2 linked regions of the Drosophila melanogaster genome follow. The protein of the gene in region 2 purifies or fractionates together with the protein of the main gene of each other region. This does not show direct contact. Each region holds a gene or a part of one and is shown on either strand. Other genes may lie near its edges.

What was found. The genes of interacting proteins can lie anywhere in the genome.
Region 1: the proteins of spoon (region 2) and larp purify together in Drosophila melanogaster (affinity purification with western blotting; one study listed by BioGRID). This does not show direct contact.

The regions. Positions count from the first base shown.
Region 1 is NT_033777.3:28,333,441-28,338,204, reverse strand, and holds the start of larp (La related protein), read left to right. Parts: upstream 1-1,764; 5' UTR 1,765-2,197; intron 2,198-2,663; exon of another isoform or gene 2,664-2,951; intron 2,952-3,497; 5' UTR 3,498-3,686; coding exon 3,687-4,496; intron 4,497-4,764. Other genes in the region: Gfat2 (Glutamine:fructose-6-phosphate aminotransferase 2), read left to right, coding at 1-335, 538-912. UniProt on the Drosophila melanogaster protein: RNA-binding protein that regulates the translation of specific target mRNA species downstream of the mTORC1 complex, in function of growth signals and nutrient availability.
Region 2 is NC_004354.4:5,417,285-5,421,912, reverse strand, and holds the start of spoon (spoonbill), read left to right. Parts: upstream 1-1,576; 5' UTR 1,577-1,674; coding exon 1,675-1,719; intron 1,720-2,816; exon of another isoform or gene 2,817-3,596; intron 3,597-4,538; coding exon 4,539-4,628.

The DNA of each region.
Region 1 (4,764 bases), on a different chromosome or scaffold from region 2:
TTACCAACACGGTGGGCAGCAGCATCTGCCGCGAGTCGCACTGTGGCGTCCACATCAACGCTGGACCCGAGATCGGAGTGGCCTCCACGAAGGCCTACACCTCCCAGTTCATTTCGCTGGTTATGTTCGCCTTGGTCATGTCGGAGGATCGTCTCTCGCTGCAACAGCGCCGCTTGGAGATCATCGATGGCCTATCGCAGCTGGACGAGCACATTAGGACTGTCCTCAAGCTGAACTCGCAGGTGCAGCAGCTTGCCAAGGAGTTGTACGAGCACAAGTCGCTGCTCATTATGGGCAGGGGCTTCAACTTCGCCACCTGTTTGGAGGGCGCACTGGTAATCCATTTGATAATTTGAGCTATAATTTAATCGAATCTCATTTATGCATCGTAATGCATGCATGGGAACGTAATGATGGAAAATAACCGATGTCAACAATTCACTTAACTTGTTTATTTGCCAAGTGCACTTAAATTAATTATTATGTTTGTCCCACGCTTCATGAGCTGAATTTAATCAATTAACTTGCTCATTGCAGAAAGTCAAGGAGCTGACGTACATGCACAGCGAAGGAATCCTGGCTGGAGAACTGAAACACGGACCACTGGCCCTGGTGGACAAGGAGATGCCCGTGCTGATGATCGTGCTGCGGGATCCGGTGTACACCAAGTGCATGAATGCACTGCAGCAGGTGACGTCCCGCAAGGGCAGACCGATCCTAATCTGCGAGGAGGGCGACAACGAGACCATGTCCTTCTCCACGCGTTCGCTGCAGATCCCGAGGACCGTGGACTGCCTGCAGGGCGTGCTCACGGTGATTCCGCTCCAGCTGCTGTCCTACCACATCGCCGTGCTCCGCGGCTGCGACGTGGACTGCCCCAGGAACCTGGCCAAGTCGGTGACCGTGGAGTAGGCGCCCCAACTATCTGGCTAACTGGCTCGCACCGTCTCAAGAATTCCATTTTAGTATCTGCCTGAGAAAAACAAAACAAACCCTAGCACTTAAGTTAAAATTTTCTGGTATTTTGTCGGATCAAAATCCGAACCCTTAACCCATTTGTGCTCCTTCTGGCTGAAGCCACATATGTTTAACCCCTACATTTGTAGCTGTACTGACCCTTTGTGTTGTGGACCCACTACTTTTTGTGAATGTGCAATTGAAATATAATTATTTCCAGTTTTTCTTTAAAAGTGTTTTGCTGCTTTCAATTAAAAATGGATTGGAAAATGTTTAACCAGTAAATTTGTTTGAAAACGGGAAAAACCAAACAAAGATCTATATGTACCTCACTTTACAAAAAATGCTTATCTGACATTAAACATTTGTTTCAAATGTTTAAAAAACGAGGGCCACGTCACGTTATTGCTTACGTTATGTTAATCACGTTGTAAATTTTAGAAAAAGAAAAATTACATATATATTTAATTCTGATAAAACTAAATAAAAATAAATTCTGATAAAAATAAATGATATTCCGAGCACTTAAGTAGTGTGAAATCGATAAGCCGCATAAATTTGAATGTCCTATTTTCAATTTCAAATCAAGTGGTAAATGGGGAAAAAATAAGTTTGTTCTCGAAAAGTAATTCTTTCTGGAAGATATTTCAAAATCATATTTAAAAACAACATTAAATAAATTAAATCAGTTGCGAGCCGGTTGGGACATCTCTATTAACCGTAGCTATCACATCGGTCGATATCTATCGCAACGCAACGCAAACGAATTGAACAACAACCCTGCTCTTTTTCTTTTGGACCCGTAGAACCACATGTCTGGTAACCGATTTTGATTTTCGTTTCGGCGGTATAATGCTCCAATTAATTGACTAATTGCGGTTAATTGACAAGACAAGTGAACGGCGCAAGTACGGTGCAACCAATAACGCAGCGAGTGTGTGTGCAATTGCGAAAAAACCCGATAAATAATATTCGTAACGTTCTGCCCAGCAGCGCGTGAGTGAGTGCGAGCGAGAGGCAGTGATTCGAGGTGCGTAGTGGTGCGAAAGTGTGTGTGCAAGGAAACCCGCAAAAGCAAAAGCAAAGCAACAATAACAACACACGCACGCACACACACACTTGTGTACGTGTTAACACGCGGAGCGGAAAGTGCGTAGTGAACATACGAAACGTACGAAACAAGAAGTGGGAGAGATAGCGGAATAAAATACAATTCTTGTTTCCATTTCAATCTCCTCTGGTGCGTATTCAAATCAATCTGAACCTTAACTTGTGTATGTGTGTGTGACCGCGTGCATCGTTTTGAAATTCGAGGCGAGCTGCAGTCGAAATCAGCTGTTTTAAAAGGCCCGACCAGGGCGGCACTAACAGCAATGCAGGCCGTTAGCCGAGTGCATTGGATATTGCATAATATTGGGTGAAGCGAAAACAGGGATATTGTGGTAGGCCACAGGGTATAATAAAACCAAATTGTAGCTATAAACGCAGTTTCTTTTATTTGCACCTTTAATTCGCTTCGATTTCCTGTCGTATTACCGGTTACGTTCAACGCCATGCCATTACGTTGTACTCCAGTTTGGCAAGTGGGCAGCTCGCTTTGCGGCAGCCCTGGTCGCTTAGCGTTGTGTTGCTGCTTCCTCTTCCTCTTGTGTGGGGCAAAAATCTAACCTCACTTCTTCTTCTTCTTTGGAACACTGCTGTGTGTGGCTGCTGCATAATAATATAATACCTCTCGATTCACGATTGGTCGTGCCTCGCAACGGATTTTCTCCGCTCGCCCAAACTGCAGTATATAATCGTGCAAAATCCGTGGCAGTAAATTCAATTCGCCGAGGAGCGTGACAGCTGAGGAAAATCGAGAAAACGGCCGCTGGGAGAGGCTTTTCCGATGGCCAGTTCCTAAAAAATCACCGCACTCCTCGGGAGGCTCTTCTGCAGTCCCACAAGAATAGTAATCCCCATTGCGAAAGCCCCAAGTTCAAAGTGCAGTGTATGTGCGTATGTGTGTGTGCTGTAATAGTTGCATTAAGTAAAGATGTAAATATTATTGCAGAAGGGCGAACTTGAGATTAATCGCCGTAATTGAGCAACAAACACCTCGCGTTCGCCCAACTCGCAATCTTGTTGGAAAATCCTAGTAGGCACAGTAAAGCTGGGCTTAGATGGCCATTCTTTAGTTTTAGTAAAGAGGTTTTAGTTTCCATTCCACTCTTTCTTTGCATTGGTATCAGTTTAATTTCAAAAGTCTATTTTTCTACGGCCAATAAGGCCATTAAAACTCGAGATGTTGACTTGAATTTATTAGCTCACTTAAAAGTTTAAGTTAATGCAAATTACTATACAAATTGCATTAGTATTGACCGCAGAATTGCCCTGAATAGTTCTATATGTAAATGACCCAAAACAGTCAAGCTTAGCTATAGTAACACTGCGTGGAAAAGTTATAAAATGACGTAATTGTAGTCTTTGGCCTGGATTTTCCTCTTGTTCCTACCAAACAGGCCTGTGAAAACTAATCCTTCTATTGCCAACCATTTCAGTTTGGAAGCCTATCTCTGGAGCCACCACATCCCGTTGAGCAGGCAAGGAAGCAGACAAGAGTTTCCCCAACCCGACAACGAGGATCAGCCGCTGACGTAGCCGGAGCAGGAGCAGCGAGTGTGCTGCCCACTCTGGAGAGGAAACCGGAGTCAAAGAAACAGCAGGAGTAGCAGCCGCAACTGAGGAGCATGTCCAGCAAGGAGGAGACGCCATCCACGGGAGGTGCCGCTCCTGTGGCCACTGTCGCCGCCTCGGGCAGCGCCACCACTTCCTACGCCAATGTGGTGCAGAACCTGGAGACCAAGAAGTCCGGCACCAGCAACACCACCACCACCACCGCCAGAGCCACCGTGGACAACAAAGAGAACCAGCCCAATCTGAAGAGCTTCAAGTCGTGGAGCGAGGAAGCCGCTGCCGCCGAGGCAGCCGGCGAATCGCCAATCGTCGGCAGCGTTAGCCTAGCCCAGACGGGTGAGAAGCGTGCCGCTGCCTCCGGTGGAGATAACACCGCCGAGAACTCATCGGAATTGGACGACAACAACGACTTCGTGCCGGTACTATCGCATCACCGCCGCGATCGCAAAAAGGCGCGCAAAGAGAAGCCGCGCGATCAGCAGCCGGCCGGAGGACGTGGCGATGGTCAGAAACCCCAGCAGGCTGGTGGCCGCCGCGTCCCCGGATCCTCCGACACCGAACGCAAGTCAGTGCGCCCACGTGCGCCGCGCGGCGGTAGTCCCCGCAAATCGGCAGCTGGAGCTGCTGGCGCAGCCGGATCCAATGCTGGAGCTGTGTCCTCCGCCGTTCCTGGTGGACCGAAAGTACACAAGGATCGCAAGGATACCTCGCCCAGTGCCAGCATCGAGGGAGCCGGCAGCAGCGGCAACGAGGCCAAGTCCGCCGACGGGGATCAGCAGGCGGGCGAGAAAGGCGCCGCTGGAGCAGCTCCGCCGCCCAAGCGATTCATTGCCGCCCCACCGCCCAAGGTCAACGCATGGAAGGTGAGTGATCAAATGATTGAATCTTTAAGTGATTGATTGTATTTTGGGGTATCTTGAATGGTAGGTTCATTAGGATAGGTTTTCATTAGAGTTGTTCAGGCATTGATTGGTATTCTTTGGATATTCCTAATTGGAAATCTTAATATATTCAAAAATCCAGAAGATTTAGAAGTGCACCGGAATAGAATTAGGTACATTTGCATTGACAAAAATTAGTTACTCGAACAAAACATTGGAAAATGCAAATGAAAAGCTTTGCTAAAATATA
Region 2 (4,628 bases):
CTCTTCTTCTGACCGCAATGGTATTCAAGTTTGGAACAACAACAATGTGCAAGTTCAAAGTCAGAAAATGACAAATAACCGAAAGGCACACAAAAAACAATCCTAAACATGTTTGCTTGCATGCCGAGACACGCACATACATCAATATTCATGTATAAACAAGCTTACAGTGTAGGAAATATAAAAAATTACAAAACTAGAACTGTGATTACCCACACACATGCACAACAAGATCTGCCTACTACCTTAAATTTACTCGCTGCGATATGTGTAGCACATGAGCACACAACATATATGTTTTATAGCACTTTTAGGCGCTTTTTATTCGTTTATGCGTAAATAGAAAACGTGAACGACGTGACCAAGTGTGACCGTTGCTTATTTTCGTCGCAAATCTCGCGTGTGGTCAATTTGAACCGTTGTCAGAAACTATAGGGTCTCGAAACATGTGCAAATAATTCATTTATATCATTCAACTTATGCTGCAAATAATTGCTATTATTATTATTTTAATTAATTATCCACACTGCTTATGTTCTTCGCTCAAACAGGAGGTAATTAAATCATTGAAGGGATTTCAAAAATCTATGTATGCATTCACTACTAACTAGCTTGGTCTTTTTTTTATTTTGCGCCGCTTTATAAATTTAAAAAAATATCATTTGGAATTACACACATCACTGTGTTAAATTAAAAAGAAGATTTTTAGTGATTGTTTTCTTTGAGATATTGAAGTCGCTATCTGCTCCTATATAAATATTATTTCGAAATTATCGATTTATAGTGCGCTATACTGACAAAAAATAGGCTGAAATTCGCATGAACAAGCATATTGTGGTAAGACAAAATGAAATCAGAACTTCCCAAGAACTACGTTGGAAAATTACAAATGCCCAAAAGTATTGCTCCACAAAATATCGTAACGAAATATCGCGAAATTTGCAACACTTTTGTGCACATTCGGTGGCAACGCCGCCTAAGAAAATACCTATTGCCCCAATCGATACCTATCGATGAGCGTGGGCAGCCCTGTTTGTGCATGTGCTGCCATTCGATTTGATAACCAGCACTCCGTGCACACGTTTTTCGGCTTTCTAGAAATAATTGGGCTGCGATTCAAACTGTGAAGTGATTTTTTCTATATTTTTTTTTTGTGTGCACAAAGGCTCTTGTAATTCGAGGATTTGGCCATCGCGAGTGCGGGTGATTAAGCAGGCAGCTCCGATTGCCAGAGTTTTGCGGATGCATGGCAACACTGCCGCACGCCGGCCATGTTATTGTGATTTGTAAAAGGTGGAACGTAGACACGTGTTTAATTCGTGCAGCACTTTAGCGTTGAGAAAACGACAGTAAATCGCCAGCAAATAAGCAAAAACAATACACAACTCGCGTGTGCAGTAGATAGCTTTGAAAGCACCCAAAGATAGTGAGCAAAATAAGTTACCCAAGCGGTTCACAAAGGTAAGAAATCGCAGCACGCGGAACATAACCTAGTACAAAAAAAGTGCGTGTGTGTGTTTGCCAAAACAGAGAGATGTGACGGAAAATGGTGTCATGTTCTGTTCTGTGTGGATTTGTTCCAATGTCCGTGTCTTGAGCTCTATTCGCACCTCTTTCCCGGTACCATAGCCAACGTTTTAACTACCTTTTTTTTGTCAACTTTTTGTTAAGTGTATGACTCTGCCTTGCCGCTGTTGTTGTTGTTCCGGCAAAGTGACAGTAAGTGGTTATGGAAAAAATTTGGAGTTCAATTCGGCGATTACACAATGACAGCACTCACACACACACACACCCACAATCGCACGCATACACATGCCGAGCATAAGTGCGTCTGTGTGTGTTACAGCTTTCACCGTTAATGTTCGGTTTTTTTACGCCTGAAAGAGAACAAAGGCGAAAAGGAGCTGCCACTCCCACAAAGAAAACATTGCGTCTATGCATACATACATATGTATACACATATAAAGTAGTATATCCCCCGATTATACAATCCCCGCCCATTTTTGGCCACCATATGATCGGAAACCACGTTGCCAAGATTATAACAATGTGGACTTTTTCGGCTAGCTGGCAATGTTGTTGCACCTGATTTGTTGTTGTTTTGGTGCTCTCTTCTGGCTTGCCTCTCTGTGTCGCTCATTCTCGCTTGTTCGGGGGAATTTCAAATTTTTAGGCTGTTGCTTCACCTCCCCGTTCGACGGCTTCCTCTTCTTTTGGCCGCACTGGTATTCGAGTTTGGAGCAACAACAATGTGCAAGTTCAAAGTCAGAAAATAACAAATAACCGAAAGGCACACAAAAAACATGCCTAAACATGTTTGTTTGCATGCCGAGACACGCAGACACATCAATATTCATGTATAAACAAGCTTACAGTGTAGGAAATACAAAAAAAAAATAACAAAAACTAGAAGACCATTGCGAAGTTGTTGTGCCCTTATCTTACATTTTGTCGTTTTAATTCAAGAGTTGATACGAATACGTGTAAAACTACACTTCTCCCTGCTCTTATGCATATCCATTTATTAAGAATTTTAGGCAAAATGTGGCAAGCTTTGTCAACAAGTTTTAATACTCTAAGCAAAGGGTATAAAACGTAATCTGAAAAATTCCCGTCACCCGGTTTCGACGATTAGGAAATGCCACAGCTGTCTGGCCAGTTGCCCTTCCATGGCCATTTTATAGCACCCCACTAGGCCCCTTATCCCCCACCCCCTGCATGCTCCCATCAACCGTTGATCTGTCGCTATATGTACATTTATACATATACATATGCATATACATATACATATGTACATACATACAATGTATGTTTGTGTTTCAGTTGCTTGTCGATTGAGCTTATCATCTGACCACTGTGTAACAGGAGGACCTTTGGGCCCTAACAAAGTGACGATATTGTGGATGGGGGGAAGCGGGAGTATAGTGGGTAAATCGGTTCTATAGTGAGTAACTTAAAAGTACTAAAGATCTCATGGCTTTAAACTACTGTTCGGCATGACTTGCACTTTTCGGGCCCCGGAAATTTTGACCAAATTCGAAGGAGCGTCTTACAATCCATTTGAATGGATTTTGATTAACGGTTTTCGGATTTCTTTGTTCTAATGAGCTCGCCACTCTCTTTTCTTCTCTCCGGCTTTCTGTCTCGTTTCCGCTTGGTGGGATGAGTGTGTGTGTGGGTGGAAAGGGGCGCTAAATAAAAACTTGCCACCACGCATCCTCTCTTTTTTCGCGGGTTGGTGGGGGTATGCCGATGCGGAAGAGCGGATGGAGTGAAGAGCGGAGAATCGGTGCCGAAATAAAAAAAATAATACAAATAAAAAGCCAGAGGAATTGGCAATTAGAAGGCGTGCAAAGTAGTTTCCCTTCATATATCGAGCAGTCGATATCTCGAATCTCTCGAACAATTTCGCCGGCATATCGAAACCCAACAAAAAAAGAAAGAAAATAAACAAAAGCATAGAAGAAACTCCAAAAAATAAGCCGAAGCGAATTGATGCCATAAAACGACATAAAATACAAACGAAACCGGAAGAAGCAACGAATTCAGTTTTATCCTAGTGGTAATACAAAAACACACATTTATTTTGTGAATAGGTGATGAATTTCTGGCAAAGCTGTTGTTTTCGTAACTTTTAGTTTTGTTTTGTAATGATTTCGTAACATTTGCCATTGCCATACGTAAACGTAACGGTTTCTTCTTGCGCCTCTCTTCCGTTCTTCGCCGACGCTCTTTTGCGTTCTTGCGCACGCGCTCTTTGCATGCGATCTATCGCTCCATCTCTCTCGCTCTCTCCCGTTGCGTTTTTCCCTTCCGCGTGGCATTCAAAAATCGCTTTGCACCTTTTTCGTCGTTCTCTCTCGTTGTCTCTCTCTCTCTCGGCATTTGTGTTGTTGTCTATATTTACGTATTTATTTGTTGCTATTAATACGCAAAAGTTCAGAAAGGAAAAAACCAAAATCAAACACACTGGCAAACACACACACACACACGCACACTTATGCAGACGAGCACATGCAGGCGGGTCTCGTGACTTGCAAAACCAATTCGAAACCTTTAAATAGGTTTTTTCAAATATAACAACATGCATATGTCGTTATTTAAAAAACAACGTTCATGTGGATGGTGTTGACAAATTAGCCCTTTAATCTCACACTTTTCTTCAAAATTGATTTCATATTTGAAATTCTCGCTTAAATTTAAACGCAAATTCAAAGCTCTTTACTTTGTTTTCAAAGTTATTCTACACAAAATTGCATATTGTGTACCGTTTCTTATCTTGAGCCATGACAAGCTTTTTAAAGTAATTATATACGACGCTACTTGATTTGTAAATTGTTGCCCTGATAAGAGGTGTTCACACATTATTTCCAATTGTAAATTAAACAACAAACCATAACTTTTCCAAATATTGCACAAACAAAAGCTACTTCATTTTTATTTCAGTATTAGTGTGATCAAAATAATCCTATTTGTGTGACAGTACACAAGTATATTTTCAAATCGCACAGACTAATATAACTTCTTCTCCCTTTCAGATCTTTCAATATTCAGCGAAAATGGTATCCGGTCGTCCTCTACTCTACCTCTCACTGCCCGGTGTAGCATTTATACTCGGCGTCTTTTGG